Neodiprion lecontei: one gene and its partner. The protein of the gene in region 1 purifies or fractionates together with the protein of each later gene. This does not show direct contact. Links are inferred from orthologs where the notes say so. Each region holds a gene or a part of one and is shown on either strand. Other genes may lie near its edges.

The links.
Region 2: the proteins of 26S proteasome complex subunit SEM1 (region 1) and ubiquitin-protein ligase E3C purify together in Homo sapiens (affinity purification with western blotting; 3 studies listed by BioGRID and IntAct, with this or other methods). This does not show direct contact. The link is inferred for Neodiprion lecontei from reciprocal best matches to the Homo sapiens genes SEM1 and UBE3C.

Annotation. Positions count from the first base shown.
Region 1 is NC_060260.1:4,674,447-4,681,437, forward strand, and holds 26S proteasome complex subunit SEM1, read right to left. Parts: upstream 3,514-6,991; 5' UTR 3,435-3,513; coding exon 3,353-3,434; intron 3,271-3,352; coding exon 3,174-3,270; intron 2,961-3,173; coding exon 2,906-2,960; 3' UTR 2,845-2,905; downstream 1-2,844. Other genes in the region: uncharacterized protein LOC107226332, read left to right, coding at 11-320, 398-738, 863-1,079, 1,160-1,498, 1,577-1,730, 1,861-2,024, 2,114-2,419; probable pyruvate dehydrogenase E1 component subunit alpha, mitochondrial, read left to right, coding at 4,575-4,625, 4,817-4,834, 5,619-5,852, 6,045-6,263, 6,362-6,610, 6,772-6,991. UniProt on the Homo sapiens protein: Component of the 26S proteasome, a multiprotein complex involved in the ATP-dependent degradation of ubiquitinated proteins.
Region 2 is NC_060260.1:41,302,690-41,311,228, forward strand, and holds the start of ubiquitin-protein ligase E3C, read left to right. Parts: upstream 1-4,193; 5' UTR 4,194-4,269; intron 4,270-4,680; 5' UTR 4,681-4,763; coding exon 4,764-5,179; intron 5,180-5,707; coding exon 5,708-6,246; intron 6,247-6,418; coding exon 6,419-8,463; intron 8,464-8,539. UniProt on the Homo sapiens protein: E3 ubiquitin-protein ligase that specifically catalyzes 'Lys-29'- and 'Lys-48'-linked polyubiquitin chains.

The sequences.
Region 1 (6,991 bases):
CTTTCATCAGAGCGCTGCGTCGTGTTGAGAAGGGAACTGCACTAGACATCGAAGAAGCCTATCGCTATGTTCATCCGGGTTCGCGAAGCCTAGCGGCGTTAGAGCACAGTCTTCATCGAGTGGTCACTGTATTGGCAAGAGAATTTTTACAATGGGAATTGACTAGTTCGTTACCTTGTAAACTCTTATTTTCAATACTGGCTAAAAAATTGCTCACAGGAATAGAAAGCATAAGTTCGCCAGAGTGGATTTTAGAAGAAATTGTAAGAGCGATTAGCTCAGAACCAGTAAAAAATGAGAAATGTGCTTCGGCTAGCGAGGTGGTAATACCTTCTTTCTATTTATTTGGGGATCTCCTTTAATCCAAATCATACTCATCAAAGTCGAATCTTTTCAGAGTGTTGTGTCTACGGCACTCAGTGATGCCATACGTTCCACAACAGCTGCAGCGATATCGCGTCCCTTACCTAAAGCTGGTCAAGGTGCTGATATTTCACCAGATTTCAAAGATAACAATCAGAATGCACAAAGCACAATGGAAAGGAAAGCTGCTCTGAGTTTGGAGGGCTTAGAAATAAGTCACAGAGGATTGTGGGCTAATGTTGAAATATCTGAACCTGATTCTGAACCAGAGGAAGACAGATTGTCTCCGGTTTATGAAGAACCAACTGATTTTGCAACGACTATCGCCAGACTGCGAAGTCTTTTGCACCAAAAATCCAACGCCTCAACACCATTGTAAATGTGTATTTTTTTCAACCAGTTTAATTCAGACCTGGCCGCTTCTCCAGGTTCATGCAAAATCTTAATTTGGAAGCTAATAAAAAAATAATCCCGAAGCTTCTACTAAATTTAATTGCAGACAATTGGAGGAAAAGTCTTGCACAGTTTACGAAGGCAGCCACTTAACTATTCCTTGGACAGAGTTTCATACGGCACCCGATGGCTCTCAGCAGCTCCTGTACTGCATACAGTTTGACGACATAGAACAGCATGGATCACACTTATTTGAAACTACTACAGCCACCGTTAAGAGGCAGTACTCAGATTTTGTACAACTTCACGCTAGTCTAGCAGAAGTAATTATCAACTGACATACAACCATGCTTAATAATCGCTGAAACACAGACGTAAAAAGCATTCAAATATCTAACTTCAGGTTCCATCATTGGCGGTTGCAATATCAAACATAACTTTACCAGAAGGCGGACGTGTGGAGATGGAAAATTATTTAAAACTAGTTTGCTCTCGTTTAGCTGCCGATTATCCACCACAATTACGTCACTTTTTGAGGCCAAGCAGCAGCAGTAATAAAAAAGCGGACACAGTGGCACCACGCCTAGATAGATTTTTGGCTAAAACCGTAAGCGGAGTATTCAATACTTTGAAAACTGTTGTGCCTGGTTTTGAAATGGATACAGAAATAGAAGTGATGCCGATGCCGACATTAATGTCACTGGCTGATGTTCCGTGGCGGTTTGTTGAGGACTTAAAATCTGTGAGTTTCAAGTGTCTTCCAAAGTTCTATCCAATAATATATTTCCACTACTGCCAATAACTTTTATTATAAAATCAGCAGAATTTAGCTCGAGAATTGCAGCAATTGGTCGCGGAAAGAATGGACTACTGTTCTGTGGACACGGCTTACGAAGCAGTCGAATCGGTCGAAGGTAGCGGTGACTCAGAGCTGCTGGCTCATTGGTGGGAAATTTTTAACACACCATACGACGGTCAGTAATCCTACCTCCAACATTGTACGCGATGAACAGATCTAATTTCCATCAATTAGCAGTAACTACTTTGAGAAGTTCTAAATTGAATGCAGCTATAACTTCAATAATAATATTTTAATTTTTGCAGAAGAACTTGATGAGCTGGACAGTAAGATAACTTTAACGCAACTAGTTGTCGACTTGGCTTCTGAAGTTTTGGGTGGATCCGGATGTGACAACGTTATAGAACAAGAAGCTGTTGTTAGAACTGTCAAATTGTTCTTTGGAAATATTGCTGAGACCACGTTAAAAGTAATGTTATTGACAAATCAGATTGTTAATTAACATTTACGCTAAGTGGCATCAGATTTGACTGTAAAATCCGTCTACTTTTGTTCCAGAATTCGATTCTCAAATCTTTTAAACACTTGGATAATCTGGACATATTTGCCAGCTCTGGTAACGAAAATACTAAAGGATTAGATATACTGCAGGATGAATTACTACAACAATTAATGTCAGCAATCCCACCTCACATAAAGATATTCTTAGGGGACAATGAAACAAGCGAAGCATTTAAATTTCTCATGAGGTCTTTGGATAATAAGAAAATTAATCGAGATTTGTGTTTACAATTATTGGACGTTTTAGCTTCACAATTATTAGCTACGTCCAGATCAACCAATCAAGGTGTATCAGCGTACTGAAAGTGAACTAAAAAGTTGTCCTAAATTTATTTTCAAGACAAAGTAAACATTCTCTGCTGCAATTATTTTAAATCTAATACCCACACCTGCATGTATTGATATTTGCTTCTAAAATGGAAAAAAAAAACGGGTAAAATGTGACAAAAATAGATTCTATTTGTATTTACACTGGTGTACTAGCTAAGGATGTTTAGCCAAATCCCAGTGAAGTTTTGTTATTAATTGTACAGATTTTTCAATTGAATGAAAAGTATGTATAAAAAAAAATTGTCTATCAAACAATGATATTTATTAGATTTTATCTCAGTGACTGTGAAAATTTTTAAACAAATATTCGTACATGAAAGAAACTGAGTAGAACTTTTTGCATTCGTTACATGTGCTGTAATTGGAACTTATCTCTTAAGAAATTAAAATGATACGTATGAAATACATATAGCAGTTTATTACTTAACAATTAACATACATCCACACTTCGTTTTGAACTCAATTTTCCTTTCCCGAAGGGTCACCCTGTACTTTCTGCTTTTCCAATTGAGCTCTGCAATAACGATATGGTAAATTAATTATGGTCGTTTTCTTGGTTGAAGCGAGTTAAGAAACGGGTAGTTTGATACCACTAATAATGAAGGTAGCAAAGACAGTACATCAAACTTTTCAAATAACACAGATAGACTTGAGACATGAAAACTACGAAGAGTCCGAGGCAATTCTTTAACATTTTATGTTAGACAAATAAGAGTCAAAGTCTTACCTTAATTGTTGGCTAAAATCATCTTCGACGTCATCGTCATCCCAGTTATCCTCCCACACGCTAATATCGGCATTGTCTTCATCTTTGGCAGTCCAATCTTCCGTGATTCAGCAAATTTGAGGTTAGAGGGTGAAGAGAAGCAAAGAATATCGGGATAAGATAAAATAAAGGAAACTTACCTTCGGCAGGAAATTCTTCGAATTCATCGTCTTCCTCAAGAAGTCCCAAATCAACTTTCGATTTATCGTTCTTGTCGGTCATTATCACTTTATTTCACCCTGATTTCAATGTGACGCCGACGTCGTGAGCCTTGCACGTTGTTATTATTATTACCACGAAGTATATTACGTTTCGAGAAGGCGTACATAGGTATGTAGAATCATATTGTCTAGCTTGTTTGTAACGCCGCGAAGTATGTTTCAAGGTCAATCGCAAATAGCGCGTTCAGAATTGGAACATATAATTTGAAAGATAATTCTAGACTATAAACAAAATGTACCGGAGATTTTTTTCCATGATAATAATTTTCGCTATTGTAGTGACAGAAACTAGCACTAGCAGGCTGATTATAATTAAGCTTAAAATTGTAGTCAGTATACAACCTGGGGAAACATTACGAAAAATACAAATCGCATGCAAGACTTACCTTTTGTCGAATTCGTAGCTGCATTGAACTGTACCCATTGTGTGGATCCACGGTTGAACACATATCAGTATTTGTTTCACTATACACTCCTGTTATGCACATTGTAATAATTTCTTCGACACTAATAAGCTATTTTTTACAACCATACACCGGCAAACTCACATCGTAGACCGTTCCAATTAGATCAAACCGCACTGAGTCACTGATATTCAGAGTTTATTCGAAGACGATAAAAACCAGTACAACGATTTTTTCGAATCACGAAAATCACATGTTTTCTCGTCGAAAAACAAGACACGATCTACACATGGATTGATAAAGCAATAATTACGTCTATACGCAATGTAACACTTGATAAATAAAAGCGTGTGATCACAACTCCCGTATTTACAAATTGGTGTTATTCGTTTGGCGATAGGCTAAAAACTAATGCTCAAATTCGACGAAATTTGAGATTTCTCAAGCGACGCGGACGCGATTCGTACCAGTTCGTACAGCGATTTTCAATTGCTTGGGAGATTATTATGTATTCGCACGGTTCGAGAATCGAACTCCAGTCATACCAATCGTGCAAAATTTCGGCTAACATATCGGGCTGCCAATCGTTGGTCCACGGCGCACGGTCGTTCTCCTCTAAATGTCCGCTGTCGCGTAGCTTGTAATATCCGTGTTCCTCTCATTTGCCAGCTGGGAAATATAATTAAACGTAATTTTAAAAAAATTTCAATTACCTGACACGGCATTCTACCTCTAAAATGATTCCCAACTGCATTAGGAGCATTGGCAGTCAAACGTCGAAAAGAAATGTGAGTTATTCTGAAAAAAATTCGAACTGTTGCTGAACATGTGAATGACCTTAGAAAAAATCCCTTACTTTTTCCTATGATTTGAAAAGTATAGAATTTCAATTATTTTCACTCGCTGTTTTGCCTTTCCTGTAATTTTTCGATTAATGCCTTGAATAATCCTTCATTTTTACATCTCATTCATGGGCAAGTATGGAAGCTGGAGCAAGGTAAATATCCCAGTAACAAATTTAGTTTTCGTTGTCTATGCTTCAGCTAATATTCCAAAATGTTAATTGTAAGGTTTTTTGAGCGTGGTGTCACGTGATCGATTTAATCGTAAGAGTTTGTACGAAAATCAATCTTGTTCTTTCGTAAAACATTGATTCGATTTGGAATATTTTTATGATATGACCTTGTTCATGCTGGGAAATGCGCTCTGGTCAGTTAGCACAGATAAATTATCGTATTAATAATTAATCGAATAATCTGCGAATTATAACCTCAAAGCATGTTTTGCGGTGATATAAATAGATAAAACATCTGTACAAAAGTTATTCAGCGCCAGCTGACCCCAGAGTATTTACCGACAATAGCACCATAATATTACGTACGAGAAATTCCAAATCAATTCAAAAATTGGTCACGTGACACCACGCTCAAAAGACCTTAATTGCACTTTGCTCTTTGAATAATTCAATCACTCATCTCATTAAATTTAGCAAATTATAATACTTGTACACAGGAACTAAAGCTTAGCCATTTCAACAACTTTGATTACGCAGCAAAAAATATTTCCTCTGCACATGCAAAATTCTGTCTACAACGAAATTATTCAGTTTCAAATATAATGTGCTACGTAATAATCACAGTTATCGAAACATTGTCCCGGAGATCCATTTGACTACCTTCCTTTTCTTCAGCATAACACAAAAATTGATATTAAATGAAATACCTGACGGTATGTATAATAAACAGTTTGCTATAATTGAATTTTTTTTTTTTTTGTTGCAGGCTGTGTCTTTCTTATTAAACAAGAATAACTACGCGACGGAGGCATCTTTCGAAACAAAGCCATTCCGTTTACATAAATTAGATTCAGGCCCATCCACGCAGGTGTCAGTAACAAAAGAGGATGCTCTCAAGTACTACAAGCAATTGCACACCATCCGTCGTATTGAAACAGCGGCTGGCAACCTTTACAAAGAAAAAATTATAAGGGGTTTTTGTCATCTTTACTCCGGACAGGTATGACAAACTCCCAGCTAACTTTGTGTAAAATTTGTTAATAAATAATCGATCCAAACTTGCACAATTTTGTACAATTTAAAAATGTCCATATTTTCGATCTCCAAGTAATTTCATCCTTGAATTTAAAAATTTCACATGAAATGTGTATCACAAAAAGCTTTAACTTACTCTTGATTTTGGTGTTCCTAGGAAGCATGTGCAGTTGGGATGACTGCCGTCCTACGTCCTCAGGATTCCGTAATAACAGCGTATCGTGTTCACGGATGGACTTATCTTATGGGTGTTTCCCCGTTAGGTGTACTAGCTGAACTTACAGGGCGTCAAAGCGGGAATGCACGCGGTAAAGGTGGTTCCATGCACATGTATGCCAAGAATTTTTACGGAGGCAATGGTATTGTTGGTGCCCAGGTAAGCCAAAGATGACTGAGCTACGTTAATGAAATGAGTAGCTATATAACATTATGAATTTTTGGATAACTGAGAATTCTTAAAATTCTACTCACTAGGTGCCGCTGGGTGTAGGCGTAGCCTTTGCTGCCAAATATCAAAACACCGGTGGAGTATGTTTAGCTTTGTATGGTGATGGCGCTGCAAATCAAGGTCAGATATTCGAGGCTTACAATATTGCCAAGCTGTGGGATATTCCCTGCATCTTTGTTTGCGAAAATAATGGTTATGGTATGGGAACCAGCGCAGACCGAGCAGCTGCCAGTACGGACTATTACACAAGAGGAGACTATGTTCCCGGAATCTGGGTAAAGCAAAGATAATTCAATATCGTACAAGTCAAAAATTTATATATAATACTTGGTGAATTATTTTACACTCATTAATATTCACCAGACTTTTCGAATAGTTGATAATTCAATTTTGTCTTGACAATATAATTTCATACAAATATGTATTACCTGAACAGGTCGATGGAATGGACGTTTTAGCCGTGCGAGAGGCTACTCGTTATGCCATTGATCACTGCACCAGTGGAAAAGGACCAATTGTCCTCGAAACAGCTACTTATCGTTACAGCGGTCACAGTATGTCAGATCCAGGCACAAGCTATCGTACTAGGGAAGAAATTCAAGAGGTTCGTCAGACTCGTGACCCTATTACCAGCTTTAAAGAAAGGATTCTCAACT
Region 2 (8,539 bases), about 37 Mb from region 1:
CCTTTTAAAATTTAATTGGGCCGGTGTTATTAAAAAACAATACATTTGTTTTTAGTAATCTCTATTTTCCATTACTGTCAAAACTTTTCCTTATTAAAAAAAAAACGCCCATTTTATATCAGTCTTGACGAGCATTTCTTAAGAAGTTTGAGAGATGCGAGATCGGAACGACAAAATTATTTCAGTAGCAACAATGTATGGACCCCTCTCCTTTTCTGATATTCGCAGCCAGTTAAGAGGCTTCACAGTGTTCAGTTTAGTGCCAGCAGCTCTCGAGGTAGCAAGATGGTAAGTGAATTACATAATTATTTTACATGTATGGAAAAACCGGCAGGTTTGACGATCGTCTATTTACTTTATAGATTAAGAAGAGAAAAAAAGGGAAGGACCTGTAGTCGTATTTTATACTTTATTTAATTTTCCTTGAATTGTCAGACGTTTTTATTTTTGATTGTATAGGAAGAAGATGTGTGGGGAATTCCATTCTAGTGCCCAAGAATATAGTACACATTTTCGATCATTTTTTCTTTTTTTTTTTTGGGAAAACATTTTCCTCAATTTCCAAATTTCCTTAATTTTTTGGTATTCAAATCGATTCTTAACAATTTTGCGCACAGGTGGGATTTCTTTAATTATTTTTTTCCTAATCCTGAGGATATTTCCTATCTGAGACCACCGTCAATAGGCGAGATTCCGGAAATCATAAAATTACCTTTTTTTCTAATTAAAAAGAAAATCACATAAGGCCACTAAGAACTCGAAATGAAAATCTGACAAAATTAGAGATGTTTTTTTATATTCTAAGCCATTAACGTAAATAATCCGTTTAACGACCATCCTAATAGATATACATTGTATATGGGGCATTCCGCGTCAAATTTGCAACCCATGTACCTCACCCTCTTCGATTTTGATAATTCTTTAGTATGATGTTACAACCACGGTTTCAATCGACTTGAAACAGTGTCGGAATTTTTTGCAGATTTCTTTAGCCACCACTGAAAGAGAAAAAAAAATGAAAAACCAATTCCGGAAACGCTTCTTTTAAAATTCTGAAAAAATTCACACTGATTTTATAATTAAAAATATGATTTGTAAGCATGACAGGACAACGTGATCTCAACATTCACTACTTTTCTAGCAAGCATTTTTTTCTCATGCCGGAATTGGAGTTTCTATTTATTTGTTCGGTCATAAATTTCTCTATTATTAATGGATATCAATTTTTCTGAAATTTAGAGGAATGCCAGAAGGCCTGAATACAGTTCATACCATTTCATTCTTTTTTTTTAAGTTATCCAAAGATCCAAGAAAACCAAAAACTTGCTAGAAAAGTAGTAGATGTTGAGATCACGTTGTCCTGTCATGCTTACAAATCATATTTTTAATTATAAAATCAGTGTGAATTTTTTCAGAATTTTAAAAGAAGCGTTTCCGGAATTGGTTTTTCATTTTTTTTTCTCTTTCAGTGGTGGCTAAAGAAATCTGCAAAAAATTCCGACACTGTTTCAAGTCGATTGAAACCGTGGTTGTAACATCATACTAAAGAATTATCAAAATCGAAGAGGGTGAGGTACATGGGTTGCAAATTTGACGCGGAATGCCCCATATACAATGTATATCTATTAGGATGGTCGTTAAACGGATTATTTACGTTAATGGCTTAGAATATAAAAAAACATCTCTAATTTTGTCAGATTTTCATTTCGAGTTCTTAGTGGCCTTATGTGATTTTCTTTTTAATTAGAAAAAAAGGTAATTTTATGATTTCCGGAATCTCGCCTATTGACGGTGGTCTCAGATAGGAAATATCCTCAGGATTAGGAAAAAAATAATTAAAGAAATCCCACCTGTGCGCAAAATTGTTAAGAATCGATTTGAATACCAAAAAATTAAGGAAATTTGGAAATTGAGGAAAATGTTTTCCCAAAAAAAAAAAAGAAAAAATGATCGAAAATGTGTACTATATTCTTGGGCACTAGAATGGAATTCCCCACACATCTTCTTCCTATACAATCAAAAATAAAAACGTCTGACAATTCAAGGAAAATTAAATAAAGTATAAAATACGACTACAGGTCCTTCCCTTTTTTTCTCTTCTTAATCTATAAAGTAAATAGACGATCGTCAAACCTGCCGGTTTTTCCATACATGTAAAATAATTATGTAATTCACTTACCATCTTGCTACCTCGAGAGCTGCTGGCACTAAACTGAACACTGTGAAGCCTCTTAACTGGCTGCGAATATCAGAAAAGGAGAGGGGTCCATACATTGTTGCTACTGAAATAATTTTGTCGTTCCGATCTCGCATCTCTCAAACTTCTTAAGAAATGCTCGTCAAGACTGATATAAAATGGGCGTTTTTTTTTTAATAAGGAAAAGTTTTGACAGTAATGGAAAATAGAGATTACTAAAAACAAATGTATTGTTTTTTAATAACACCGGCCCAATTAAATTTTAAAAGGCTTATGGTTGAATAAACTTCAGATTTGGGTTTAGCGGACCAAAATGCATAAAAATCATACTTGGTCTATAGTTCCATAAATTTTTTTCTTACCAAAAATGCTAATTTTTGGCGATTTTTATGGTTTTTTTTGCAATTTACTCAAAATTTTGAGGGTGTACGGGCAAAACTGACTTCAGATTCGGATTCAGCGCGTCAAAATACATAAAGATAGGTAGGTCCGGTCAAAAGTACAGGCCACTTTTTTTCTGTGGGCCGGTGTTATTAAAAAACAATACATTTGCGTTTAGTAATCTCTATTTTCCATTACTGTCAAAACTTTTCCATATCAAAAAAGAGGCGCCAAAAACGCGGAACAAATCGATTCGCTCTCGGAATTTTATTGTTTCAATTATTTGTTCTCTTCCGGGTTACCCCCACTACAAAAAAGGTGGGTTCAGTAAAAAAAAAAGCAAAAGGAAAGAAGGAAAAAATCGACCGGCTCTCGAAATTTTCTTTCTTTGATTTGTTTTTTCTCTCCGAAAATACAAAAAAAAAAGCCGGGATTGAATTTAAAAATAAAAAAAAAAAAAGAGTGAACTGCGATCGAACCCGTGTCCCGCATCACTCCATCCTCATGTTTTTTTTTTTTTTTTGAGGAGGAAACCATATTTATTTAGATGAACAATAAATGCTCAATATTTACAATATTGCACTTGTAATTATCTTAGTTTATGTAACTCCGGCTTAAATTTTAAGCTCGATCTAACATTTTGTTTTACATTAAGTGGTTAACTTATTTTTTAGTGTTTTGTTTAAGACTTGAATGCAGTATTATAGCAAAGGCAGTAGTAATTAACTTAAATACAGGAAAACTTCGCGCAAAAACCTGTGATTGAAAATTCATCCTCATGTGGTATCCACTCAGCCACACCACAGCTACGTCCGTGATCGCGCGTTTGCTCGGTATGTTTATGGAGCTTGCTTGGAATTCGCTGATGGTTCTCTGGAAGATTCAGTTCGAGAAAAAAAAAATTTCCTCCAACCACTTGCCCATTGCACATTTTGCATAAATGTTATCGAGCTGGCTTCGTATATTTTTCCATAGACAGCGCGTACAAATATTCGAGAACACCAGGCGTCACATATTTTCATATCAATAAAAAAATAATATTTATTAAAAAAAAAAAAAAAAAAAACGTATTCGGGCTGGGAATGGTTAATTATTTTGGTTCAGCGTCCGCTAATTGAATCCAAAATTTATCAAATCTGGAGATACTTTTATTCGCTGACATTCAAAATTGAAACAAAAAAATCCCAATTCTTGCATTCCTGGAAAGATTTGTGCGAGCGGGGACAAGGATGCGATTGGCAACCGCTTGCTCGAGCGACCGAGTATATCTATATATGCACGATTGTGGGCCACCTTCGGTGCATGGCCGCCTAGGTGTCAGGTCGGAAATGGGCCACCTTCGGTGCGTGGCCGCCTAGGTGTCACGTCGACGCTCCAACCTAGCTGGTATCACGAAAAGCCGAGCGTTGGAGATCTCCCTACTCATCTCTGGTGCAACCAGTGGAAAACGCTATAAGCCCAACACTCGTCGGATCTTTGCGATATCAGCGCCTTCAGCGTCAGCTAGCGCAAGCCTTATTGTACGGATTTTTCATCCCGGATCAAGTGTACGAAGATCGGACTCCTTTACTCTAGACTCCATGCTAGTGATATTATTCATCAATTCAATATGGCGTGTATTCAATGACTAACGTGTAATCGTAACATTATTGTAATATTATAATTTATTTCGAGTGATTTTTAGTGATAAAGTGAGTAATGGTGGTGAAACATTCTCCTTCGATTTCGTAATTGTTAAAGACAAGCATAATTTATTGACGTTGCGTGGTTACGCAGTGTGGCAATAATCAATTAATACGGGCATAACCTTGCTATAAAGAGCCGAATTTGCAGAGAAAAGTAATCGAGTAATTTTATACTTAGTGAACAGATAATTTTTCACAATAGATATTTTCGCGAAGGTGAAACTGGACTAAATTTGAACAGTTCAAAATACCACGACTGTAATACTGCAAAGGATATAATTTAGTCAGTTAGGATTCTGCTGGTTGCTGAAAAAAAATTCATGCCCAACCAATCATAATGAACCAATGCATCGAATGCTTCTAAATCTCATTTATCATTATTCACTATTGTCAATATGTTTCTATCTGTGAATTCAGGCCGATTGGGGAGTCTTCATTGTTGAATTTCAAGTGACTCACAAAAGAACGGACGTGTAATTTTTTTTGATTGAAGTAACGTCATGTATAGCTTTGACGGAGACTACAGACGAAAACCCCAACAAAATCTAGCTGGTGCTAGCCGTCGTGATGAAAAAGCTGTGCTACTGCAGCATGCTCAATTGGAACGTTTAAAACGAGAACAACAGCGTCAAAGGCATGACGCCGCTGTGAAAATCCAAGCTCAGATTCGTCAATTTGTAACTAGACAATTAAAGCGTGAGCATGAAAGGCACAACTTTGATGTAGCGCAGAAGGCATTGGGTAATAATCCGCCAAGCTTGGAAGAGATTTCCCCTTTGCTCAGACAATTGTTATTTTTCTATGACGAAGCTCTAGATGGATCCAGATTGCTATGGATACTTAGACACGTCTTGAAAGATCACAAACGTATAAAAGAACTGACAACCATATCTACAGAGTGGTCATGGAGATTACGGTATGTTTATGAAATAAAGTGTACTATTTCTCTAATTAATTCAAAAGCAGAAAACCAGTTGAGTAGGGCGTAACCGGCAAGCGTTTTCGTTTTGAAGCTGATTGAGGGTCATTGGGGTTGAAATTTTTTTCTAAATACTATTGTCCCTTTATGGCTACAAGCAATTTCTCAATTTGAATGCAACTACGAAGACCAATTTGCCAGGAGGGTGTAACGACTTTAGCGATCTGAGTTTTTATAAAATCAATATTGCATCCTTGTGATGTTTTAGTCAGCATATTGAGGTGAATAAAGAATCGAAAAAAATCAGAGGGAAGAGAATACTTTAATTTTTGTAATTTTTGTAGTCACCTTCTTTAGCACCAATACGTGAAAAATGCATGTGAGATATGTCGTTTCCATAAAGTGATTTAAAGTTTCTGCTTTGTTTGCCCTGTCTGCTGTTAAATTGGTCTTTTTTTTGAGTGCTAAGCACTTTTGTTTTATAGAGTTTGAAATAATACCATCAGCTTTTTGTCCATTTTTAAGGTGGATTCTCAAATTATCAATGCGGAAAATAGTTGACACGGTTTCTCAAGATCCTGCTCGTTCTATAGCAGTTCCTCTGCGAGTCCTGGAAGTGTTCACTGTGAAAGAAAATACAGAGGGCATTTTAAAGACAGAAACAGATCGCCATTTGATCGGCATATTTGTATATTTGGCAGAAAACAAGTACTTTGTGCAATTGAGAAGGTTGATAGATGAAAAAGTGCCTCCTTTGTTGGAAGCAACGCCTGTACCACCGACACCGATGGCGGCATGTCTATTGGATATGATTAAACGACCGCTTGGACTTATTCATACCATGGAAGAGAATAACAAATTTTCCATTACGATACTTGAAGAGTTCTGCTACAGCATTCTTGCGCCAAGAATGTCAGAGCCAATTAAGATGCTTGTCTTACCTGCATTGACAGAATTTCAAAATCTCCCGTATAAACAATTAATCGATTGTATAAATAGACTTGCAAATGAGCCTACTCTGTGCCTTTTGTATAGCATATTATCTCTGGAACCAGTCAGATTTGGTAAGTGATAAACAGTTTGGAGAATTACAATAATTATAATATTCAGATTGACAGTGACAATTATGAACACTAATGCAAATGTACATTTGATATTTTATATGTTTGAAATGTTGTCCATACCTTGGTGTATATTGCATTGCTAATGTCTCTGTCTTCATCTTTGCACCCACAGCCTGCAGAAGGTCAAGGAACACTCTGACGAACTACCTTCAAGTTTTGGCATCGCTGAGTTCGACAATAGCCTCCCCACCTGTAGAGCAGAGTTTAAATTTCACCGACGAATCGGACAGTGACACAGACACTGATATGGTCGATCAGGATGAAGCGGACATACGTCAAAAATGCATAGAAATGTTGAATGCAGAAAATCGTGTACAAGGTATTCTTGTGGTGGTGGATCAAAGCGAGGATCCCCTTATGCTCCAAGCCCTATGTCAATTGTGCCACAATCTTTTGATAACCAACAAAATGGCTGTTCCTAAATATAAACTACTCTACATGCTTGCGTTCAAACCGTCGTTTCTTCGTCATTTATGGACGGCACTAATGTCTGTTCGTCAGACATCCCTGTTTGGGGGTGTCACTCTTCTACTGCAAGTAGTTTCTCGAGGTATCGCCCTAGATGCAGATAATACAAAAAAGATTGTACCACTTTTGGCAGTTTTTTGCTCGCTCTTCAGCCTGCTTATTGCAACGCTGCACGACACTGAATTCTTCAATGATGGCTCCCAAGTTGGAACAAGTGGTGCTAGCCAACAGACAATGCCATTCACGACTGTGGAACTAGTGCCACTTTCTGCTCATTTGAAGGGGGTTTGCTTGGGCTTGGTCGAGCTCGCGTTCCCCGATACCCGGCCGACAGTACGAGATGATTATAAAACTGCAGTACTTGGTGCCTCTGCTACCCAAACTCACCAAAACACACAAATGTGGGTGCACTTGTTCAAAGTAACTGTAGGTTTGCTGCGGCAACTTCACACTCGTGATCTGAGAAAACAATTTTGCCCTGAAGGCCATTGGATAGCGTCGAACATTGTGATACCACTGGACAAACCACAGGATTTTACATTCCGACGTCGCAGATTAAGAGGCTATGTACCATTTCAAGGACTGCGAGCATTTACTCGTGAAGATTTGGAGGAAGGCCCTCCTTGGTCGACAAAGGAAGTGCGAACGCTTACGCTGCTTCGTGAAATACCCTTTGTTGTGCCATTCAATGATCGTGTAGTGGTATTTCAATCTCTCTTGAATCACGACAAAGAGGAACAGCAAGGCGAATGGACGAATTTCATGCGGGGTCCATACATACAGATTGCTGTGAGACGGAATTACTTGTACGAGGATGCGTTTGACAAACTTTCACCAGAGAACGAGTCTGAGTTGAGGCTGAAAATGAAGGTTCAATTGGTGAACGCAGCTGGTCTTGAAGAGGCTGGTGTAGATGGGGGTGGACTATTCCGAGAGTTTCTTTCAGAATTGTTAAAAACCAGCTTTGATCCAAATCGCGGATTTTTCAGGCTGACCAAAGACAACATGTTGTATCCGAATCCAACGGTGCACCTTCTTGTTGATGATTTTCCAAAACACTACTACTTCATTGGTCGTATATTGGGAAAGGCACTGTACGAGAATTTGTTAGTTGAATTGCCGTTTGCCGAATTTTTTTTATCAAAAATTGTCGGCAGGCAAGCCGATGTTGACGTTCATCACTTGGCTTCCCTCGATCCAATAATGTACAGGAATCTCTTGTATCTGAAAAGTTACCAAGGCGATGTTACCGAACTGGGGTTAGACTTTACAGTTTTATCTGACGAACTTGGGGAGAGGCGCATTGACGAGCTCAAGCCTGGAGGAGCGAACGTCACAGTAACTTCGCACAATCGGATAGAATACATCCATTTAATGGCTGACTACAAATTAAACAAACAGATAAGAGCCCAGTGCTATGCATTCAAGCAGGGCATAAGTAATGTCGTATCCCTCGACTGGCTTCAAATGTTCAATAATAAAGAACTACAGGTCTTAATCTCCGGTGCACAAATACCTGTCGATGTACGCGACTTGAAACTACATACAAACTATACCGGAGGCTATACCCCCGATCACCCTACAATAATTTCCTTTTGGAAAATTGCTGACGAATTCACGGACCAACAGAGAAGTCAACTGCTCAAATTTGTGACAAGTTGCAGTCGACCACCGCTGCTTGGATTCAAGGTATGATGAAACGAGAAAGAAACTAAACGATACTGATACTAAATAAAGTGACTGTAGTGGCGTAGCGTGCATGACT